7 linked regions of the Xenopus tropicalis genome follow. The protein of the gene in region 3 purifies or fractionates together with the protein of the main gene of each other region. This does not show direct contact. Links are inferred from orthologs where the notes say so. Each region holds a gene or a part of one and is shown on either strand. Other genes may lie near its edges. The genes, in order: stx8, napa, stx7, stx6, snap29, snap23 and vamp4.

Region 1 (3,500 bases), on a different chromosome or scaffold from region 3:
CCCAATACCTGACTAGGGTTTACGGGCAGCCCCAATACCTGACTAGGGTTACGGGGCCGCCCCAATACTGACTAGGGTTACAGGGCCCCAATACCTGACTAGGGTTACAGGGCCGCCCCAATACCTGACTAGGGTTACAGGGCAGCCCCAATACTGACTAGGGTTACAGGGCAGCCCCATAGGGTTACAGGGCAGCCCCAATACCTGACTAGGGTTACAGGGCCGCCCCAATCCTGACTAGGTTACGGGGCCGCCCCAATACCTGACTAGGGTTACAGGGCCGCCCCAATACCTGACTAGGGTTACGGGGCCGCCCAATACCTGACTAGGGTTACAGGGCCGCCCCAATACCTGACTAGGGTTACAGGGCCGCCCCAATACCTGACTAGGGTTACAGGGCCGCCCCAATACCTGACTAGGGTTACAGGGCCGCCCCAATACCTGACTAGGGTTACAGGGCAGCCCCTATACCTGACTAGGGTTACAGGGCCCCCCCTATAAGCTGACTAGGTTACAGGGCCGCCCAATACCTGACTAGGGTTACAGGGCAGCCCCTATACCTGACTAGGGTTACAGGGCAGCCCCAATACCTGACTAGGGTTACGGGGCCGCCCCAATACCTGACTAGGGTTACAGGGCCGCCCCAATACCTGACTAGGGTTACAGGGCCGCCCCAATACCTGACTAGGGTTACAGGGCAGCCCCAATACCTGACTAGGGTTACAGGGCAGCCCCAATACCTGACTAGGGTTACAGGGCCGCCCCAATACCTGACTAGGGTTACAAGACCTGGGCATGGCGCCACATTCTGTGCCAGTGAAGGTGCGGGGAGTTGTAAAATGAAATCCATAAAGGACAATTACATGGGAAAAGCAGAATTAAAGGGAAAGTATCAGGGGGAGAGTAAGTTCTATTAATGACATGCGGTTTTAACCAGCCAATCCGTGTGCCAGACTGCGCGGTGCTCCCGGCTATACGGTCTCCGAAGCGAGAAGGATACATTTGGCGAGTGGATACCGACCGGAGCAACGATTCCTTCAACTGCCCGATCTTCCCACTGAGATTCTGCATCAGGGACCTGAGAGCAACATTAATCTGGGGGAGAAAGGAGGGAGTCAGTCACTGTATATATATATATTAGCACAGAGCAAAGCATGCTGGGAGGCATCTGTTAAAGGGGAAATTTGCACTCAGTAACCTCAGTCTTGTGTAAAATTGCCTAAAAGGGAAATAATGAGTGCTTCCCCTTTAAATGAACTTCAATAACAGGTTTTTATGGTTTTAGAAAGATTTATCTTTTTGTGCCGGAGCTCTCTGGTTTGACAGTTTTGCAGTATTGGGTTGCTAGGGTGCAACCTACCCTAGCAACCAGGCTGGGGTGTGAATGAGGGACTGGAAGATGAAATTGTCTGTTGGGTCAGTGACCCCCCCATATGAATGCTGGAAAGAAGCAGAACAAATAATTAAATAAACTATAGGAAATACATTGTACCTTCACTGGGTTTTCTCCATTCCGCAGGTACCGGTTCCGCTCGTGCAGTTTTTCGGCAATCTCCTGTGCCAGCTGGTATGTATCATCGTAGGTGGCCAACCTTTGGGCAAGGAACACTCAGGTTACGTGGCTAGAGACTCACCAATGGGGGGTAGAAGCGGCCTGGCTACACTGTGTAACAAGGGAGTTGCCCTACCACTTGCCTTGGCACTGTCACTACTGTAGCACTGATTTACCCCCAATACCCCTCAGGGGTAAACACGGCAGATTTATTGCAAACAAAGTGCCCCGAGGGGAACAAGATGTTTTTGCCCGACGTGCAGTTGTAAAACCAAAGGAAAAAACAAAAGGTGATTTGGCTGAAATTCCTCTTCCTGTGAGTGTTTCCATAACAAACAGCAGTGATTACATCGCGCGCATAAAACCTCTCTCCCCGGCCGACAGCACCGCAGCCAGCACTCACTGGGGTCTGTGCAGGGCTATGCCGAAGGTCAGAGTAATGGGCACACAGACTGGAATCTCCCCCTGGACCCACCGACTGGCTCATCCCTGATCCTGGCACCCCCAACAGACTGGGCCTCTCACCTGGCATACACAGACTGGCTTCTGACCCTGGCCTCTCACTACAGACTTGGGCTCTCCCTGACCCCTGGCACCACAAGAACTGGTCTCCCCCTGACTCTGGCACCAACAGACTGCTCTACCTGCACCTACACAGACTGGCATCTCCTGACCCTGGCACTCACACAGCTGGTCTCACCTGGCACGCACACAGACTGGCTCTCCACTGGCAACTACACAGACTGGATCTCACCTGACCTGGCACAACAGATGGCCTCTCCCTGGCACATCACACAGACTGCTCTCACCCTGCCATGGCAACCCACACGATGGCCTCTCACTGGGCACTACACAGACTGGCATCTCACCCTGACCCGTGGACACACAGATGGCTCTCACTGACACTGGCAGCTACTACAGACTGGCCTCTCACGCTGGACTCAAGACTGGCATCTTCACCTGACTGCACCCACACAGACTGCCTCTAGCCCTGGCACTGCCACAGACTGGCTCTCACCCTGGGGATAACAGACTGGCTCCTCACCCTTGGCACTACATCAGACTGGCTCTCCCCTGAACCCATGGCACCACAGACTGGCCTTTCCCTGACCCCTGGACACACAGACTGGCCTCTCCCCTGACCTCCTGGCACACACACAGACTGGCTCTCACCTGGCACTACACAGACTGGATCTCCCTGGACCTGGCACCACACAGACTGGCCTCTCACCCTGGGCCCACACAGACTGGCTCTCAACCCTGGACTACCAGACTTGCTCTCACCTGACCCTGGACCCCAGACTGGCTCTCCCCCTGGCACAGCACACAGACGGCATCTCACTGACCGCTGGCACCACACAGACTAGGCCTGTCACCTGATACACAGACTGGCATTCACCTGACCCTGGCACCCACACAGACTGGCCTCTCACCCTGACCCCTGGCACCCACACAGATGGCCTTCACCTGGCCTACACAGACTGGCCATCTCACCTGACCTGGGCACCAACACAGACTGCCTTCTCACACTGGCCCCACACAGACTGGTCCTCTCACCTGGCACTACAAGACTGGATCTACCACTGACCCTTGTGGCACCCAAAGACTGGGCTCTTCCTGGACGCATACAGACGGCCTCTCACCTGAACCCTGCACCACACAGACTGGCCTCACTCACCTGACCCCTGGACCCACACAGACTTTGGCTTCACCCTGACCCGGACCTCCAAGACTGGCCTCTTCCCCTGGACCCACACTAGCTGGCACCACACAGACTGGCTTCCCTGGCACCACACAGACTGGCACCCACCAAGATGGCTCTCCTGGCACCCACAGACTGGCACCACCAGCTGGCACCACACAGATGGCTACCCACCGCCTGGACCCACACAGACTGGCTCTAGACCCCTGGCAACCACACAGATGGCCCCCCAACAGCTGGCACCAC
Region 2 (4,000 bases), on a different chromosome or scaffold from region 3:
GCAACATCATAAAAAAAACCAGATGAATAGGATGCTCATTTTACAATAAACCTAAACATAAACAAGAAAATTCAACATAAAACCCAACAACAAACATCAAATCTTTGAGGACCGCCTATGCAGGGGATACAGGGGAATGGCTCCCTCCACCATAGCTTCTCATGCTGCCACAGTTGGCCCACCAGGTGTCTTTAAGAATTGTGCAATTTTTCTGTGGGTTTTTTTTTTTTTTTTTTTGCATACATACATAAAATGGACATTTACATTTTTTTTTTCTCTATGAGGGGGGACAGCTCTTGAACCTGACTGAGCATATACCAGATATCCATTCTACCGGGTATATATTTTGCCACTTCCTCCCAGAAGTGCTGCACACAGGCCACAACAGCTGGATAAAGTCAGATGGTGAAAAACGACATCTGGGGCACTCTTGTGGGAGCTCCTGGTTTAATATTTGTAACGGTGGGGTGTATCCCTAATTACAGCATCAAAGGTTGACTCCAACACCTCCTCCCACAGTTCAAGTGTAATGTGGGGGAGATCCTGTTGCCACCTGGCATAGAGTTTGTTCAGAAGGGTACTGCCTGCCCTCACTTTTGCATTATTGATGTCTGCCTACTATTTCATGTTCAGAACATCCTCCAATTTATTTTTAGAGCTTTATCCTACAATTTCAGTCTGAATGTTAGTTTTAGATCGTTGCATTTAAACGTATGATCGATATCCGAACATTCATTAGAAGAGCATTTTTTTTGTTCCCTGCTACTTTCTGACTAAAAAAAAACCCACTTGTTTCCATAACAATTCTATTGCCCATTTCCCAAACACATATGTATCATTCTCTACAAACTGCATTTAAACACACCTTGATCCTTAGTCAACAAATATCTTACTAAACATCTTGCGTTCTTTTAGCCATATTCGCATTGTCACTCTGTTTGTGGTCAACTTAAGAAGTGATAAAGACCAAAAAAAAGCGGAAGATAGTTTGAAATTGTCCTTACCATGTCAGTGTAGATCTCTATTGCTCGAAGCAGACAGTTAATTGCCTCTGAAAACAATATAGATACTTGTGATCATTTATCAAAGTTATTATTGAAAAAGTTAAGCATTGCTTTATGTATTCTTGCAGAAAAGCCTTTATTTCATTTAATAAAATACCTCTAATAAAATAAGGCCTAAAATCACCTGGCATTTCATATTCAAGATGAATATATAAGAATATATTCATGTGCCTGGCTGTGCATGGCATTCTCTGGTCAAGACAATATCAGATCAGCTTGAAATGTGCCTGTTTGCATTTGGCGACCAGTGCTAGGATTGCTTTGATAGTAAAAAAATGCTGCAAATCACACCGGTCTATTTTGTCTATTATTAACAGTTACAGGTGAGGAGCACTGTATTCAGGAGCATCAAGACGGGGGAGGAGGGGGGTCTCTGCATTTTATTCTTCTTGGAGCTATCATTGTGGGGGTATTGCCACAATAGACAAAAAACACTTTTGTGCAAAACACTTATTTACACTTAGTTATTACAACAACCCACATTTCTGTGCACATAACTGATATAAATATGTTATCTTTGTGCATATGACCGAAAACAAATCAAAGGGGAACACTGGGTGCTGGTACAAACAGTTATTGATAGATAACTTTGAAAAAAAAAAAGACTCATTCAAGAGACAACTAGGACCTCTCTTACCCTGGGGGTCAGATTTCTTGAATGCATTTCCAGCATCCACAAAGTTAGTGGCTGCATCATGCTTGCTTTGAACCTGAAGATGGATCTGGGCAGCCTGGCAGAAGGCATTGCCAGCAGCTGGGAAAAAGAAGAAGAGCATCTTATTGCACTATTCCGAGGAGTATAAATATCTATATACCTATATATGGATATATGGAAAGTTTGTTACAAATGATTTTACAGATTACATACTACCTACCACTCCAGTTCTTGGCCATCTTAAACATGTTGGCAGCCCTGGCATAGAGGTCGCATGCTTCTTCCATTTTAGAGGAGCCTCTTAAATGCAGACAAACAGACAAAGATTACACACTATTCAAGTTATAAGATTAACAAAATGTAAAATGCTTTGTGTAGTGACAGCTACAGCGTTGTAAATGCTTAATATTACTAACACTAGTGACAGTTCAATGCTTTTGGTCAGAAACAGATTTTGCCCTGTTACCATGTAATTATTTCTAATTCACTTACCCAAACAGCCCTGAAAAGAATGACTGCGATGACTTCACCTTCTTGTCAGCCTCAGCCAGAAGCTGCAGAGCCTCCTTCTCCTTCCCAGAGTTATCCATGGTTGAATGGGGCCTGTCAATGATAATAACAATCAGAAAATATGGAAAATAGATGCCAATATAAATTATAAAAAAGAAAATATCTATAAATTCAGAAAAATTCCCCGGTATTAGATCAGAGACCATAGAATCAGCCATTGTAACATGGGCCTGGAATTACATTTTAGGAAAGTAGTTAATCTATTAAAGTTTTTCTATTACCGCAAGATGTTAGCCGATTCAGAGCGCTAACCAGAACTAGGAGGCAGGCAGCCAAGAAAAAGCTCTGCAAATGAGTGAAAGGCCTCGTAGAAAGCCGACGAGCTAGTAATACGAGGATACTCGCGGATAGAGACAAACAGGAGGCAGAGGCCAGGGATCAAAAACCCTTGAACCGAGAGACGGCCGAGGGAGATAATCGGGAATCAGAGAGCAGAAGAATAGGGCAAGCAGAAGGGAAAGAATTGTAACAGTGTGCGGGACGCTGACCTGATTTTGCAGGCAAATAATGACTGCGCTTAGTATTTCTCCGGATCAGCAGCTATGCTTCAGTGACAGCAAAACTTCCGCCCGCAGAACACATGATTATTCTGTTTCCGCCAATATCCGTGCCACGTGACCAAACGTTAGCATTCACATCCGCCTAGACACAGTCAGAAGATGTAGTTAGGCTTTTTCTGAGCGGCATTTAAAGGGAAAGATGTGTACTCCTTTTTAAAAATAATACAGACTGTAGTGCGTTGTTTTCTATTACATTATCATTTTTTTACATATGATCTTTTTTATGTTTTAGTTGTCCTTATCTTCGTGTAGTGTTGCATTTCATATTAAAAAAAACAGTGGTCTTCCGGGTTTGTTTGTTTTTAGCTTTTTGCCTCGCTATTGGCAATGTTTGGAACGAGGCATCATTTTTACTACCCTGGCGTTAACATTATTAGTAAGGGGGCAGCCTTTGTTCTGATTCAGCTAATACTGCTTATTACAGTAACTCCATGTTACCATTCTCTGCTCTCTAAGCATAAATGCGGTAGAGGTTAAAGGTCCAGGAAACAGTTTTTTTTGCTTATTGGTGCACCACCAACTATATACTTTACTAATGACCTGAAGGCCAAGTTAAGGAAAGGCAGTAAAGAATAACCCAAACTGCTTAACGTGCCTGGCAATGAGTTTAATATAAACTGCTCATACCTCCCAACATTTGAAAATGAAAAAGAGGGACAAAATATTTTGCAGCGCTAAGCGCGGCGAAATTTTTCTTGACCACGCCCACTATATGGCCACACCCCCAGATGTCCCATTTTTGCACATTGTCCCGCTGTCCCAGATACTTACTGAAATGTCCTGCTGTGTCTTTTAAGTGTCCTGCTCGTCTTCAGGTCTTTTTGTCTTCCTTTGGGTTTCCTTGGCTCCTTCTGTCACTGCTGTCTTTGGATCTTCACAGCTTCTTCCTGCACTTTTTTATTTGTTGTGGGTGCTGGTGCTGCTCAGGTCGTGGGTCACAAAAGTTACGCTGGTGCTGCTGTGCCTTTATCTACTACTGTACAAGCTCTACTTACTGCTCCTTTTTTAAAAAAAATAAGCTTGGTGAGTCCCTGACTGTAACAAGTGTTTATTAATTCTTAATAAATAATTAATATTCATTATTAATAAACACCTTTGTTACAGTCAGGGACTCACCAAGCTTATTTTTTTTAAAAAAGGAGCAGTAAGTA
Region 3 (3,495 bases):
AACCAATTATCAACTTAATCCATTTAGTGCAACCAGAGCATAGAAAACAACTGACTGGGTGCTGAGGATTTTTTCCTGCAGCCAAATTTTCACCCAAATTGTAAAGTCAGGGGCTCTGTATTTTCTAGGTTGCACCTTGTCAGACCTAAACCCAACCAACAATCAGTTTTGTACAACAAGGCATAGCCCCCACTTGCTCATCTTTGATAGAGCATAGCCAAAGAACGCAAGCACTGCCATAACAATGCAAAAGATATTCAATTAATTTTTCTTCATCATTAGAGTAATGTGCCTTTCTTCTCGTGCAGTAAAGAAATTAGGTGATAACAAATATTTCTTCAAATGTAAAAATACCATTAGTGTTTAACAGCTCCCCAGATAATCAGTCCAATGACTGTTGCAGCTACAACAAGTACTGCAATAATAATGCAAATCTTCCTCCTGGATTTTCTCTGCAACACACAAAAAAATGGCAATATACAGTTATTTTCAACTACATTTATTTACAGGTTTACCTTAAAATATTAAGTAATGCTTAAATAACATAATTCAGTCAGCACACCAAAGTTCTGCTTATTTGCACAATTTATTGTCGGGCGTAACAGTTTGTCCTCCATGCTGGAGATATAAAGAACTATGACTGAAATGACAAAGTTCATCGTGAGAAAAAAAAAATGTGCAAAAAAGAAAGCTAGGTTTTTTTGGTTTTTTTTTTTGCATTTCTCACTGTGTCTCTCTTTCCATATCCTTTAGAGTGCATATTCTAGGGATCCCCTTTTAGTAATGCAAAGCAAAGCCATAAAAAAAGGTCTTAACTGGTTACTGAGTGACAGGGGGAATTTAGACTGATCTGAATATGAACAGTAGTGCTCCAGATGTTGCAGAACTATAGCTGGCCACACACACCGATAATATCGTATGAAAACCCATTTTGTACGATATTCGGTGCGTGTATGGCAAGTCGGCGAGTTGACTGATATCGCAGGAGGCTGCTGATATCGGTCGACTCGCCGATCGGCCGGGTTAAAAGATTTTGATCAGGCGCCTGATCAAAATCTGCCTTCAGGGCTGAATCAGCAGAAGGAGGTAGAAATCCTATTGTTTCTACCTCCTTATCTGCTGTTTCAGCCCTGAACGGTTAGCGACCGATGGTCGCACAAAAGATCGGAAATCGCCACGTGTGTGGCCACCTTATAATTCTCAGCACAACCTGACAGCTGAAAAATGAAGGGCCACAGGACATACTTCCTTGTGTTCCATGTGGCAATCAAAGCACTAAAAGTCTATTTTGTCCTAAAACAGAGAAAACAGGTAATCTCCATAATTAAATAAAGCATTTTCCATGTCACACTTTTCCAATTTCCAAGTGGCATTTGCCACTGCCCCACAAATTATAATGCTGTTTGAAACAAACACAAAGCCTACCTGATATTCTGCAGCCCTGGCCAGCTGCTGGTTTGCTTGCTGAACATGGACATCTGCATTTTCCACATTGGCTTCTATACTGTCTGTACAAGAAAGCATTATTACAGATTACACAGGAGATAATTGCACCTGCTTAACAAGAGTCGAGTCTGTGACCTGGGCATGATTGAACAACCTTCAGTGCTTTTGCTGAAAGTGATAAGAAAAGTATAAGCAGAAGCAGAATATATGGGAAGGCCTGGGCTATAGTGGCATGTTCTAAGTGGTAGAATGTGGGCCAAAACACTTATAGACTGCTCAATTGGTGTAGCTTCCTCATTTGAATACTAGCAAGGGGAAAGAAAATGGGGCGTGGCTTGAGAGCAGGCTCAAAGTTAGGTGTGAGCAGGCAGCCCAGCCTAAGGTTGCACCAAATTGATATTTAGCGCTGGATAAACAACAAAACTACCACAAGAGACATAAGATCCACAAGATGTGCAGTTATTTTAACAGTGATGCAGAAATACATTGTTTTTTTGCTAAGTCCTTTAAGTATGTTACGTTAGCAATATTAGTAGTGTCATCACATCCCTTTAAAAGTCTCCCTATATAAAATTCATATACTGTAACTATGATGCATGGCTTCTAGATTAGAGTAAAAAGTGATTCCTGAAGTGTGGGCGCATTGCACGGGGGGAACTGGTATTCTTTTTCTAAAAAAAAAAAAAAAATATTGTTTTAGCCAACCAGAGAGAGTGGGCTCTATTAGCCTGCACTTGGTGGGGGAAGCAAATTTAGGGTGATAGGTGCCCATTAAGTGAAAATGTTTGACAAAGAAAGTTAATTTTCTCTATCGTTGGGTAAAATTCCATTTTTCCCCACTTATATATATTTCACTTTACTCAAAGGGGCAGTTTTGAATTCAAAATTAAAGCTCGCCACAGAAATCTTAAATCCCATAGAAATTGGGTGAATAAGTGTATTTATCAGTGGGTAAGAGTTCACCATTTGATAAATACACTTCTAAAAATCCCAAAGGAATGAATAAGAATGTGATGAGATCTAATCCCACATTTTGATAAATCTCCCCAAAAGTGAGAATGTAAATGTGTATTTAAAGACAAAAATATATATTTTCTGCATTTTAGATGCTATTTCAAACTTTTCCTTTGGAAGACAACTAAATAGGAGAAAACTTGTATGCAGACATACAAGCATAAATAATAAATTAGATTTGGTAACAGAAGCATTTGTTGCGTTATAGCTGTACTTGTAATTTTTAAATGTCTGACTGCTCTCTAGTGGTCAAATTAATAAATGCAGAAACCAAAGATAAGACAGAATGTTGGGGTAAGGAAATGGTTTTTGAGCGATCGGGCTCATGTATTCTGCAAGTGCATTAAGCAAAGTGCAATGTGGGTGGTGATGCTCTTAATGCAATTGTGCTGCACCAACCACAGTTGCGTCCAATTCATTAAATTGGGCATTTTGCCACAAATCAGATGCAATTGCGTGGAAATCTGTCTGTTGTCATTTCCGGTGTTTGGTGTGTGAGTTACATCTGCATAGGATTCTTCAGTCGCAAGTGCACTGCACCTATTTACACTGGGCACGAAGGGAACCCTGGAGCTACCACCTGGTCAGGAGGTGGCAGTAGCTCAAGGGTTCTCCTGTGTCAATAGGTGCAGCAGAACATGATTCAAAATGGGAAGCAGGAAGGATGAGCAGCACCAAAGGCAATTTGATGCAAGTACATTTAATTATATGGAGTTACGTGTAACTGACTGCAGGGGAATTGTGGGGACTGCAACTGCACTTGCGGATGTACACTAGCCCTGTTATGTTCAAGCCCTCTTCTACAGCTGTAAAAATTTCTTAACCAGCAAATAAATGCTTGCCCTAAATCAGCTGGGTCGTAACAAAAAGGAAAGCAAATAAGCATTCTCAAATGCCAACCCCTGTGGCCTATGCCCCCCTATGGCCTATGCCCTTTTCTTCTTTGAGCTCCCCAGAAGCGGCTGCATTGGATTTTGGCAGTAACTGCAATGCAGTAATGGCAACTATGCCAATTATATGCATTTTGCCCACTGA
Region 4 (3,500 bases), on a different chromosome or scaffold from region 3:
ATCTCCCTGCAATTCCATCCCACTGGCTAGGATGTAAATTGCGGGTGGTATGGCATACGCAGTGCCGTGATTTGCTGAAGTCGCCGAAGTGTCCTCTCAAGGCAACTTCAGTAAATCGCGGCGCCGCGTATGCCATACCACCGGCGATTTACTTTCTAGCCGGTGGGATGGCATTGCGGGGAGATTAGTCGCCCACGACAACAGATTTGTTTTGCAACGCGACTTATCTCCCCGTATGTCATGGCCCTTAGGGTGAAGACACACAGAGCTACTAGTAGCAGCTACTAATATAGACAATGCTGATCATTTACTGATAATTGTCTCTATGTGTTTTAGCAGAGGCAATTCTCAGTATTGTCTATGGCAAGGTATTTTCTGAAGTCTAGAAGTCGTGAAAAAGCTGCTACTAGTAGCTCAGTGTGTTTTCACCCTTAAAGGGGTACTACTCCCCTTGTTCAACATTAGTGCAAAGAATAGGGTTGGTGCTTAAGATACGCCTATTGTCTGAATCTCAAAAAATCCATGTTGTTTTGCTATTTCTTGAGTTAAATAGTGCAGACACAACCTCTCAAGACACAATTAGATTACCAGTATACAATCCACTCCCTTCACAAACTGTTGTGACTGTTTTGTTAGCAGGAGTCCATTATGCAGGGTGTTTATCCATGCACCGGTAATCTAATTATTTAACTTGCAAGGAACAAACATTAAGGGCTCTGGCACACGGGGGAGATTAGTCGCCCGCGAACAGGGAGTTAATCGCGGGCGACTAATCTCCCCCGTGTGCCAGAGCCCTAAAAAGCTCCAGTCTCCCTGTCTAGCTCAAGATATAACAAAAACAATAGATTTTTGTGTTTAAAACAACAGATAAAAAGTATGTTCATCACAAGCCCTATTCATTGAACTCATGTTGAACAAGGAGGTATACTGCCTTTAACAATAAAGCCCCTAAAAATCCAATACAAGTGAAGAGTTCTCCTTTGAATATCTGTGACATAATATCACCTATAGGTGTTAGGGTGTAAGAAAAGTGCTTCATAATCACCCCAATACTCTTTTTAAAACTGAATCAGCATTCTTTTCCTGATGGTGACTTTTGGCTGTCATTTCCTATTACTATGGCTGGACAAACTGTACTAATCAGATCACTCTATATAATGAGGGCCAGCAAACTGAAGTTCTTGACAGGTGTGGCCCCATCCTACTCAAGATTAGCAAATGGTGTTGAGTATGTTGGTCACAGGCCAGTTCTGGCATTTTTTTTCAACAGTAATCACTTCTTGTGCAATCATATAATGGACTGAGCATTACAAACTTCGTGTGGGATCCCAACAGATGGTTTCATTTAAACCTTAACCTTGACTCTGTTCTTGACCAAAATGCAAACAAGTTTACTAAAACTAATTACAAGGATGAGCCACACCCAGTATTGCTACATATCTCCTGACAGGAGCGTCTACTTGCTAAAACATAACAAAATGGCTCATACTCACCACTAGTCATGTGAGATACCTTTGCTAATTTCTTAAGAACATTATCCATGCGGGACTGAGCAGTATCCAGTTCATGGGAAAAGTCATCCAACATTCTACAAAGGTAATTAAGAAGCAACTTTATTAGATAAAAGGAAACACATTATATACTGTATAAATTAGAACAGTGTCTATAAAAAAAAAAAATATCAATTGAATTCTGGTGTTAAACTGTAAAACTGTTGCAAATTGAAAGTTTCTGACTGTTAACGTAAAGCCCAGCCATGAAGTTACTGCTCAAAACAGACATAATTGCACCATTTGGTTAACTGTCATACCCCTCTGAGGGTCCTCTACTCATAGGCAAGGATAAAAAAGCCAGTCTGAAATTTAAAGATCCTTACCAGGACAAAGAAGGGTTCTCCTGTTAGATACAACAAAAATAGAACTTGGCCATAATGATCATCGCTATGCATGGAGGAAGGTTAACCTGAAGAACCATTCCAACTGTGAAACACAGGGGTGGCAGCATAACGCTTTGGGGTTTTGTTTATTTTTTCTTGCTGGGAAATTGACTAATGCACTCCAGAAAATAAATGGCATTATGAAAAAAATGGGTTATGTAGAAATTTTGTAGCAACACCTTAACACATCAGCCAGAACTTAAGCTTGGTCACAACTTTGTCTTTCAGCATGACAATGATCCAAAGCATACCTCCAAAGTTGTAACCAAATAGCCTGCCTAAAGGCAAAGTGAAAGTATTGGAATGGCCATAACAAAGCCCCCACCTGAATCCCATTAAAAACTTGTGATTGGACAGGAAAAATAGTGTTAGATCAATAAGGCCCACTTATGCCAGTTCTGTCAGAAGGAATGGGCAAACATTCCAGCAATATGTTGTGAGAAGCTTGTGGAAGGCTACCCTAAGAGTTTGAATCAAGTTAAAAAATGTAAAGGAAATGCCACTAAATACTAGTGGTATCCAAGCCATTACTTTTTTTTAAAAAAAAACAAAATATAAATAAATACCCTATTTAACACAGGCAATGTATGGTAATCTGATAAAAGCGAAGTTGTAAAATAGGTGAATTTGAACATCTTTAGCATAGGTGTGTGTGCAAACTTAGTGTCAATTCTGTGCATCAGCATTTTGCCCGAGGAAGGATGGGACAAGTTGTGACAGATTTTACATAACAAAAGAGCTAATTTCCCGCATTGCCCTGATTTTCCCTTTAAAGGGCAATAACACAATAGGTGATTAGCTGCCTGTGATAGATCTTCTCTACTGAGGGCGACTTATCTCCTGCATATGTTTCCCCACAGGCAATAATATAAATTGCTGGTGGGAAAGCATATGAGAAGTTTCGGTTTTGCGAAGTAGCCTAAAGTTGCCTCTCCTGGCCAGGCCCGGATTTGTGGTGAAGCCACAAAGGCCCGGGCCAAGGGCGGCACATACACAGGGGCGGCATGCCGCTCCGCCGCAGGCAAATTTTAAAATTTTGCTCCCATACGGAGCAATGGGGACATCTCCCCACTGCTCCGTATGGGAGTTCTAAGTTTGGCGCATGCGTATTAGCGTTCGTGGGGGGGTGGGGCTTGTGCGCGCATGCGCGTTCTCGTGGCGGGGGGGGCCTTGGGGCACCCCCAGTAGAAATCCGCCGCTGCTCGTGGCAACTTTGGGCTCCTTCAGAAAGTAGCTGAGCCACATATGTTTCCCCACCAGCGATTCCCATTATTGCCAATTGGCTACTCTGGCTTACAGTCATGGCACAACATGCACCTATGCCACTAAATGATCCACCTGGTGGTGAAAGTAAGTGAAAAAGAAAATTAACTTTGCTCATTTAGTGTCCCATATTATTTATGCAATCCAAGGACATAGTTTCACCGTTTCTTTCCTTATGTATCCGAGGTGTTATACCCCGCCTCTCTGTGATTTTTCTATAACACTTACACGGCTTGTTCATCCAACTCACTGCCAATACGCTGGGACATGTTCTTAAGGACACCAATGCTGCCTGACACAA
Region 5 (2,177 bases), on a different chromosome or scaffold from region 3:
TAGGTAAAAATGCTGCTGTACAAGATTATTGTGCTACTTCTCAGTCTAGTATGCAAAGTGGCCTTTTTAAACACGCCCTCAAACATATATGCATTTGACAGTGAAACACAGGCTCAGATGTTATCATAGCTTGTACTGCTTAAAGATATACAGTATATATGTTAATGTACAGCTACTAAAAAGCTAGGCACATTTGCCTTCAACAGCTGCTATAAATTCTTTACCACTGATTTTATCTGAAGCACATGTGCCCCGTTTTGATTATGATTACAACTTTGTAATTGATAGTTACAAGGGTGCATGGTGTTATTGCTCATGTAATATTTTACACAGCTTTAAAATATGCCCAAGTGTGCTAATAATACAAAAGGGGAAATAAGGATTACTATGTCCAAAACATTTAATAAGTATAAGGGAGTATGAATAAATTATCTGAAATGTCAGGCAGAGAAACAAGTCTACAGACTCAAATTTGTCTAAAGAAGACAAATGGCACAAAATCAGAAAGCAAATAATATATTAAACAAGTTAGTTAAAATAATAACAGGCAAGATTATTAGGCTTTTTTTTTTAACTTAACAAGTAAACTGATAAAATATTCACAGTATGGTTTACGGGAGTGTCACATAAATTTATAAACATATTTATACACAAAGTTTCAGAACACTAGATTAAAATAATAAGGGTAATAAGAAAGTGGCATATGGCAGGGCCCATTAAACCCTATGTTACGAGCATGTGTAAAATATTGCAGTTTTAATAAAGGCATGTTCATATGTCTATTCTGTCATATAGCAGTAAGGTAATACCTAGCAAATGAACTCAAATACTTTATTCAGATCCAGAGCTATAACAAACTGCCAATCACTACAATACAATTCCAATAGTAAGACAATTCATTTTTATATCTTAATAAGGATCTATATTAGTAATAATACTGCAAAACATCATCTACATTTAATGCTAACGAATGTAATGTATAGTTATACAGAAGATATAAGATTCAGATAGGGATGTGTGGGATATTTATGTCCCAGTATAAAAAAAAACAAAAAAAAAAAAAACTGCATAACATTATAAAAACCACAAGAATAAAACTCAAGAGTCGGTCTTGGTCAAGTCTGAAATTTGTCTTTTATAGCTCTTCGCGAATCCGCTTGTCTGTAGTCTTGATGTTTAAGTCCATCTTATCTACTTTGCCAGTTAGGCGCCCAAGCATCTCATCCTGGTCATCGATTTCTGTCTGAAGTCCTAGTGCAAGGTTTTTCAGGCGACCCAAACCTAAAGACATGTCATCTGGAAGAAAGGAATAACACAACCTTAGGATTAGTATTATTATTTTTAAAATGCAGCAATATTAGTAGGTATGGAAAAAAAAAATACGGTGTATGGGTTACACCTTGTCATTTAGCTTTAACCAGGTCATCTATAAATGGTAGCCTTGATGCCTAGAATCAGTCATTAAAATCTGTTGGGAGCCTATTTCTTTCCCAATAGATTCTTAATGTGATTAGTTGGTTGGTAATTAGAGTCGCAATCCTCCAAACTGTTTATGAAAGATATGCCAAAACAGGAAGTATTTGTTAAGAGATACTGACACCAGAAATGAAATTATTTTTACATCTGTCATAACATTGTCTTTGCATGCTATTTATAATTTTGCCATAAAAGTATTTGTCCAAGCTTTTACATTCCCTATCTGATCCCCCATGTTCCTCTATGAGGGGGCGGCCATATTTGTCCAGCAGGAGGCCGTTAGCATTAGAAGCTATAACTGACAGGCTGAGAAGGGACAGTCAGGCTGGCAAAACAGTCAGGTTTTGGGATTTCAAGTAACAATTACTTACAAAAGCAGCCCTATCAGTAAAAAATGATCAACACGACCTATAGGCAACTTTTTATGTAGATTTATATTTTAAAAAGTTTTTTTTTCGTGTCAGTATCACTTTAGCAGTCATAATGGTTTTGTAGACAGGCCAAAGGGGTATTTGAAGAGCAGCTCTCTTATTATTTCACTCCCAGTCTTATACCACACAAATCCTTTCAGTGTTATTATGTAAAAAGACACTGGGTTACCCCATTAGGGCAAAGGCACACATTTCAGTAATTTAAAAAGCAATTGTAATACTGATAATAGTAAATGTAGGATTGGTAGTTAATGATCCTCAGAGCCTATA
Region 6 (2,583 bases), on a different chromosome or scaffold from region 3:
AGACCTACTGTATTCATTTTAAAGATCAAATATTAATATGAAGAACATGAGGAAGATAAAATGTTGCAAAATGTAAGCCATATGGTGACCTTACAATGTTTCCAGGGCATTTCTGTGTCTTCTGCCTACAGAGATAGGCCCTTTGGAGCTTATAATTATTATTCTTTTATTTAAAAAGTGCCAACATATTTCACTGCACTTTACAGAGATTATACATCACTCACATCAGTGCCCCAGTGGAGCTAGCAGTCAACAATCCCTATTGTTTTAGCATGAAGACACATGGAGCTACTAGCAGCAGCTAGATAATGCTGATCATTTACTGATAACCGTCTGTGTGTCTTCACCCTTAACATACACTACAGCCAATTTTATCAGTAAACAATTAACCAGGAACTTACTCTGCCTGGACAGAAAAAAAAAACCTTTCCCCAGAAATCTATAAAGTGAGACAATGCTCAGGTTGGAATCAAACTTGCAATCCACCCCCCTCCCCCAATACACACAAGTAGCTGTTCATTACCTTACGTAAGATGGCCATACATGCCAAGATTCTCACCCAATGGGAATTTGAAATCAACCCAATAGGTACTAGCAAGATTTTGGTTGAGCGGCCCTCCTAAAGGCTCCGTACGCAGGCCAATAATTTGGCAACTCTATTGCTTTCAGACTTTGGGGGCATAATTCCCAGCAAACTTATATAAACTTCAAAATCTACTGTATTTAGTTGTACATTAATCCTATGAATTCCTTGAATACCTTTAAGATATGCATGTGCCTGAAGGACATCTGGGGCACTTTGCTCAGTTAAAGTTTAGATAGTAATGAGTAAATAGTCACCAATAATAAAGCATGGTTTAAAATATATTTCCCTGTAAAGTATTGGGTTCCTAGCCCAATATTGTGTTTTCTGCATAAAAAAGTGGAAAAAAAACTAAAAGAATGAGATGAGGAGAAAATAAAGAGCAGTAGGATAATAGTTAGTTTGAGACCATCTGTAATTGTTCTATTTTTGTGCTTTTTACTTTTTTCACTGTTAAAGGAACAGTTACGTAAAAACGAAAGTGTTTTAAAGGAGAAAGAAAGGTAAAAACTAAGTAAGCTTTATCAGAAAGGTCTATGTAAATACAGCTATAAGCACTCACAGAAATGCTGCACTGAGTTTTCTGTTAAAATATTAGTTGTGTCTGTTTTCCTATGCCAGAGACACATCGCTCTCTGCTCTCTCCTGCTCCCCCTCCCTCAAGAATGCTAAGAACTCATCCCCCCCCTTAGGAATATGAATCTGAGCCAATCAGCAGGAAGCTGACTCATAACTAACAGAGCATGTTCACTTGGTCTGGGCGTCTGTGCAGGGGTGAGGCATTATGGGAACTTTCTATACACAGCTCAGCATTTTTTCTTCCTGTTTGGCTTCTGATCATCTGAACGGGAGAAATATGGGGAGACTTGAGACAACTGAAGGTATGCCTGCAGCTTGAGATTAACTCTTTATTAGCCTTTCCTTCTCCTTTAAAAGGAAAATAATGGTATTTAGCTATTTTTATGTATTTTCTCTTAAGGACAAACTTTCTAATCTTATCCATTCAAGATATAATCTTAGTACCTTTACATTCCTGCATGGCCAAAATGCAGTAAGGAATACAATTTACTCTATCAAACATTGTATATTCTTTTATATATTCTCTTACCTCTTAATATACGGACCACTCTGTGCCACTCCACCCTGTTGTCCATTTGTTTGATGAGGTTGCTTTGATATCACATTTTCTGAGTCATTGTCTTTACTGCCCCAAGTCTTTTTGTAGTTTTCCCCACTCTCGAAATCCTTTGGCCTACCAAGATGTGAAGTCTGTTAGACAGGATCATTCATTGCTACTGCTATTCAGAAATTGTTAAAAAAACATGACACCAAGATACAAAAAAAAAAAAAAAAATCAGAGGTGCAATATCCCTCTGGAACCAGAAACTTGTATTCAAATAAAAATCAAATTTGAATTTAAAATACGAACCTTCCCTAACCTCCCAGATAGGTTATGTCTCTGGAGAAGGGGGAGACACCCAGAAGTTGGCAGGGGGGAGTAAGGAGACCACAAAAATCATGACAGAATCCATTTATTTATAAATTACATTGTTTACACAGCAAATAATTTACTCTACCATATAAAATGTTATTCTTGTACCAAAACGTTTTTTTTTTTTTTTAGCTGTAATATTGGTGTGTAGGTGCCATCTCAGTGCATTGTGCCTGAGTCTGAGCTTTCAGAAGGAGCCAGCGCTACACATTAGACCTGCTTCCAAGTAACCTTTTGTTTCTCCTATGTAACTGGAGTCATGAATTTGCTGAGCTGGACTTGGATTTTTGCTTTTTAGGGTTATTATACCTACCACTAGGTGGGGCATGGGTGCATTTTTAGCAGCACTATTTGATGCATTTTGAGTAGGAATGCACCAAGATTTGGGAGATTTTTTAAGATAGATTTGGATTTGGCTGAATCCATGCTCCTGGCCGCACCAGTTCCGAATCCTTAAAATCACGTGCCTTTTTGTTACATAAACACGGTAAAAACAAGTTGAAAATTA
Region 7 (4,007 bases), on a different chromosome or scaffold from region 3:
CCCACAACATGTGATTACCTTTAAGAAAAAAACCCCAAAATTAAGGAATTGGCGCATTCTAGGGTAAACATTATGCCCATGTAATCTGGAGGTATTATTTATTACATTTGGACTTGAGAAGTTTTACAGAAATGTTATGCACTGACAAACTAGTGATTTTTTTTTCTTGCTGAAATTAAGGGCTGAGAACTTTAGTTCCCATGCACACATATACAGGTTATTTCTACATAATTTCCAATTAACTATTATAGGACAAAGAATCTGCACAGTGATGGAAACCTTTGTGCACTGGGCAGGATTGCTTAACATGCATGATATATAAGCATTTTTGGAATAACTGTCTCACCTTTTCGAAAGGGAAATACTGGCATTTATATGGTTATTTTATTGGCTGAAACAGATAATTCTCCATGGTTTAAAGGAATGTCTGATGAAGAGACCCAGCTGCCCCTAAAACCTGGTCAATAAATATAAAACAAAGAGCTGCTTTTTTCTTTCTCAACCAACTAGGTTTGAAATTAAAAATACAAGCTGCCAATAATAAACTGCCAGGGACACAAAATAATAAAGATAATAAGTCTTAAGTCTTGGCTAATATTTGGCATATAAAGAAAAAAGCAGACTAAACTGCCAGTTACATAAAAAGAAATGAAAATATTCACATATACATTTCCTTCCAGAGCTAACAACCCCCCCCCCCCCCACCCCACCCCATTACACCATGATTCTGCATTTACAAGGAAAAAGAACACAATGTAGAATTATACACAGGGGCAAGAACATAGCTGCGAGTTCAGCAAAAACCTAAAAAATAATTCTTGCATTCTACTGTTCAAAAATGTATTACCCGAGGCTCTGTCCTGTTCTGCTCTGCTCTGGAGCTGGTGCTAAGGAAAGGGGCCTATAAAAGCTATTTTTCTCTGTACTGCATTTTCGGCGCCTGAATAAGGTGCTACCGCAATTATGAACATTAAGGGCCTTAAGTTTGCCTTGAGAGGAAACTTCCGCAATTTTGGGAAATTGCGGCACCGCATATGCCATACCACCGGCGATTGACATTTAAGCCGATGGGGTGGCATATCGGGGTGATTAGTCGCCCGCGACAAGGGAGATTTGTTGCAGGCGAATAATCTCCCCGTCTGCCACGGCCCTAAAGGAGAAGGAAAGTTACAATCACTTGGGGGTGCCAAAATGTTAGGCAGCCCCCCTCCCCTCAGTGACTTCAATCGCTTACTTGAAACCCCCAGCCGGTGCTCCTGTTTGGAGAAAACTGCAGTGGCCAGGGTGTATGCGAGCGAGCGTTCCTTCTTCTTTGCACATGTGCAGTAGAGTAAAAAGCCGGCTTTAACAAAATAGCTGGCTTTTTCATTCAACTGAGCATGCTTCGGCCCCTGGATTCCGAAGAAAGAAGATAAAAGGAAAAGGAACACTCGCTCACATATACCCAAGGCCACTGCAGTTTTCTCCAAACAGGAGCACCGGCTGGGGTATCAGGTAAATGATTACAATCAATGGGGGTGCCTAACATTTTATTTATCTCCATCCCATCCAGACACACTCCAATAATTCTGAAGTATCCAGCCGGATGCTTACTATATACAGTCACAATACAAAAGCACTTATTTTTGCATGTTATTTAAGTAATCCAGTGAAGTTAAAGAGTGATTCACCTCAAGTTAACTTTTATTATGTTATAAAATGATCAATACTTGGCAACTTTTCAGCTGGTCTTCATTTGTTATTTTGTATCGTTTTTGAATTATTTGGCTTCTTCTTCTAAAGCTTCCAAATGGGGGTCACTGACCAGGTCTGATCTGGGATTCAAAATAGGCCTGGCCAATTCAAGTACACAAAAGGCCCAAACAGCCCCCACCAGCCCAATAGTGACTGTCTATGGTATCTTACAGCAGCCCCTCTGGAATTTACCAGAATCCACATATCGTCAGTCCGGGCCTGTCACTGACCCTGTCTGTCAAAAACTATTGCTCTGTGAGGCTACAATTTTATTGTCATTCTCTTCATTACTTATCTTCCTAGTTACGTTCTCTCCTGTTCATATTCCAGTCTCTAATTCAAACCACTGCCTGGTTACTAGGGTAACTAAGATCAAAGCAACCAGATAGGTGCTGAAACTCCAAACTGAAGAGTTGCTTCGCAAAAAGCAAATTAATTAAAAAACCGTAAATAATAAAAATTAAGACCAAATGCAAATATAAATCTCCACGTCATACTTAAAAGTTAATTTTAAGGTGAACAACCCCTTTAAAAGTTCTACGTGTTCCAATCTATACAAAGTTGTCATCAAGATCATCCTTATGACAGTCAATGAGACTATATATGTACCCTCTATTGTACATGATAAAGATATCAGAGGTTATGGGAGGTTTCATGACCATATAGTGGCACAACGCAGCAAGACACAAATTTTAGAACTAAGCACTGATTATCACTATCAATTTACTGGATATTCATGGCTTGAGTACTGTGTGTGTGTATAATATATATATATATTATATATATACATACATACACACACACATAGAAGATAAATTAACAAGTAAAGCAATAGGTGGCCATAAGTGTGTAGCAATTCGTATTTAGTACAGTAACACAAACACTGGGATTTGTAAAGAGGAACCACTGACAAGAAGACAATAAGACCGAGCCATCTTCCTCACCGCCTGTGACTGTCACAAGACAAACTGGCAGCTGTAATATATTCGGACGGTTCACTATTGGGGGAATCCCTCCCAACTAGAGCCGATGCGGCAGACCTGTACCTGTTCGGATGAGACTCCAGCGATGCTCAGCTCTAAGCTTATTCACTGGCTAACATGGCGCTCCAGCTGACTGTAAACCATCCATCGCTCGAAACGCGATTCACCGTCCTGTTCCCTTTAACCCTCTGAATGATCTAGAGTTCGGCGTTCTCACAATGCGCAAGCGCACTGGCACAGTGTGAAGCCAGCCTGCCAGCACCATTGTAGGACTGAAATTAATGATTTGACGTTGTTTGTATTCATTAACGCCGTACAAAATGTTTTTTTAAGTATTAATTACATCTTTTAAGATGAAATAGAGACATTAAAGAAATGTTGTCATTATTTTTAGTATTGAACAAATATTTGCTCTTTCATTTTATTTTAAATTGTCTCTTTCTTAGGCTAATATCCCATGGGGAGATTTAGTCGCTGTGATTTTTAAAAAGTGAGTCGCTTTTAACAAGTCACTTGTCTTTTCCTAACAAGCGATTACAACAATGGAGCAATTCTATTTCCCACAAATCCAAGTGTCATATTCCACAATTAGAAATTATATTCAGTGCAATGGGGAAATCGCAGCAGCTTCCATCAGTGGGTTTTACTTTCAGCGATTCCAGTAGTTTTTAATGACATTGCTTTCTTTGTAAAATCACTCAAAAAAGGGTCTCATATCGATTCAGAGCGTTAAGCGATTTGAAGTAGTATCGTCTTCGTTGTCGTGGGCAACTAATCTCCCCACAGTGCCATCCCACCCATTCTAGCCGGTGGGATGGCATTGTGGGGAGATTAGTCGCCCGCGACAACAAAGATTTGTCGCGGGGTGACTAATCTCCCCAAGTACCACTGCCCTTATACTGTAGAGTAGACATTTACATAGATAGGGTTTATTGGTCCCTTTGTAGGGCACTTACTCCTAGTGCAAGGTTATGTGTTTGCTTGTGTGTATTTATAACACCTTGGGGCACATTTACTAATCCACGAACGTCCGAAAAGCGTCCGAATGCTTTTTTTCGTAATGATCGGTATTTTGCAATTTTTTTCGTAAGTTGTCACGACTTTTTCGTAGCCGTTATGACTTTTTCGCAAATTGTCGCGACTTTTTCGTAGCGTTACGACTTGCGTGAATTGTTGCGATTTTTCGTAGCCGTTGCGCCGAGTACGAAAGTTTCGGATTCATTCAAGCTTCAGTATCGTGACTTTCCTTGGGTCGGGTTGGAGCTGCAGAGTGCCATTGAGCCCTATGGG

What was found.
Region 1: the proteins of stx7 (region 3) and stx8 purify together in Homo sapiens (affinity purification with mass spectrometry; 5 studies listed by BioGRID and IntAct, counting the BioPlex papers as one, with this or other methods). This does not show direct contact. The link is inferred for Xenopus tropicalis from reciprocal best matches to the Homo sapiens genes STX7 and STX8.
Region 2: the proteins of stx7 (region 3) and napa purify together in Homo sapiens (affinity purification with mass spectrometry; 4 studies listed by BioGRID and IntAct, counting the BioPlex papers as one, with this or other methods). This does not show direct contact. The link is inferred for Xenopus tropicalis from reciprocal best matches to the Homo sapiens genes STX7 and NAPA.
Region 4: the proteins of stx7 (region 3) and stx6 purify together in Homo sapiens (affinity purification with mass spectrometry; 3 studies listed by BioGRID and IntAct, counting the BioPlex papers as one, with this or other methods). This does not show direct contact. The link is inferred for Xenopus tropicalis from reciprocal best matches to the Homo sapiens genes STX7 and STX6.
Region 5: the proteins of stx7 (region 3) and snap29 purify together in Homo sapiens (affinity purification with mass spectrometry; 3 studies listed by BioGRID and IntAct, counting the BioPlex papers as one, with this or other methods). This does not show direct contact. The link is inferred for Xenopus tropicalis from reciprocal best matches to the Homo sapiens genes STX7 and SNAP29.
Region 6: the proteins of stx7 (region 3) and snap23 purify together in Homo sapiens (affinity purification with mass spectrometry; 3 studies listed by BioGRID and IntAct, counting the BioPlex papers as one, with this or other methods). This does not show direct contact. The link is inferred for Xenopus tropicalis from reciprocal best matches to the Homo sapiens genes STX7 and SNAP23.
Region 7: the proteins of stx7 (region 3) and vamp4 purify together in Homo sapiens (affinity purification with mass spectrometry; 3 studies listed by BioGRID and IntAct, counting the BioPlex papers as one, with this or other methods). This does not show direct contact. The link is inferred for Xenopus tropicalis from reciprocal best matches to the Homo sapiens genes STX7 and VAMP4.

What each region holds. Positions count from the first base shown.
Region 1 is NC_030686.2:49,420,489-49,423,988, reverse strand, and holds part of stx8 (syntaxin-8), read right to left. Parts: intron 1,593-3,500; coding exon 1,493-1,592; intron 1,096-1,492; coding exon 1,001-1,095; intron 1-1,000. UniProt on the Homo sapiens protein: Vesicle trafficking protein that functions in the early secretory pathway, possibly by mediating retrograde transport from cis-Golgi membranes to the ER.
Region 2 is NC_030684.2:79,897,338-79,901,337, reverse strand, and holds the start of napa (alpha-soluble NSF attachment protein), read right to left. Parts: upstream 2,801-4,000; 5' UTR 2,778-2,800; intron 2,768-2,777; exon of another isoform or gene 2,511-2,767; intron 2,323-2,510; 5' UTR 2,310-2,322; coding exon 2,212-2,309; intron 2,020-2,211; coding exon 1,940-2,019; intron 1,819-1,939; coding exon 1,702-1,818; intron 1,052-1,701; coding exon 1,005-1,051; intron 1-1,004. UniProt on the Homo sapiens protein: Required for vesicular transport between the endoplasmic reticulum and the Golgi apparatus. Together with GNA12 promotes CDH5 localization to plasma membrane.
Region 3 is NC_030681.2:70,289,802-70,293,296, forward strand, and holds part of stx7 (syntaxin-7), read right to left. Parts: intron 1,509-3,495; coding exon 1,426-1,508; intron 453-1,425; coding exon 357-452; 3' UTR 1-356. UniProt on the Homo sapiens protein: May be involved in protein trafficking from the plasma membrane to the early endosome (EE) as well as in homotypic fusion of endocytic organelles. Mediates the endocytic trafficking from early endosomes to late endosomes and lysosomes.
Region 4 is NC_030680.2:100,861,717-100,865,216, reverse strand, and holds part of stx6 (syntaxin-6), read right to left. Parts: coding exon 3,428-3,500; intron 1,589-3,427; coding exon 1,494-1,588; intron 1-1,493. UniProt on the Homo sapiens protein: SNARE promoting movement of transport vesicles to target membranes. Targets endosomes to the trans-Golgi network, and may therefore function in retrograde trafficking.
Region 5 is NC_030677.2:153,633,264-153,635,440, forward strand, and holds the end of snap29 (synaptosomal-associated protein 29), read right to left. Parts: intron 1,297-2,177; coding exon 1,136-1,296; 3' UTR 501-1,135; downstream 1-500. UniProt on the Homo sapiens protein: SNAREs, soluble N-ethylmaleimide-sensitive factor-attachment protein receptors, are essential proteins for fusion of cellular membranes.
Region 6 is NC_030684.2:105,560,974-105,563,556, forward strand, and holds part of snap23 (synaptosomal-associated protein 23), read right to left. Parts: intron 1,836-2,583; coding exon 1,692-1,835; intron 1-1,691. UniProt on the Homo sapiens protein: Essential component of the high affinity receptor for the general membrane fusion machinery and an important regulator of transport vesicle docking and fusion.
Region 7 is NC_030680.2:107,501,334-107,505,340, reverse strand, and holds the start of vamp4 (vesicle-associated membrane protein 4), read right to left. Parts: upstream 2,801-4,007; 5' UTR 2,781-2,800; intron 453-2,780; exon of another isoform or gene 347-452; intron 1-346. UniProt on the Homo sapiens protein: Involved in the pathway that functions to remove an inhibitor (probably synaptotagmin-4) of calcium-triggered exocytosis during the maturation of secretory granules.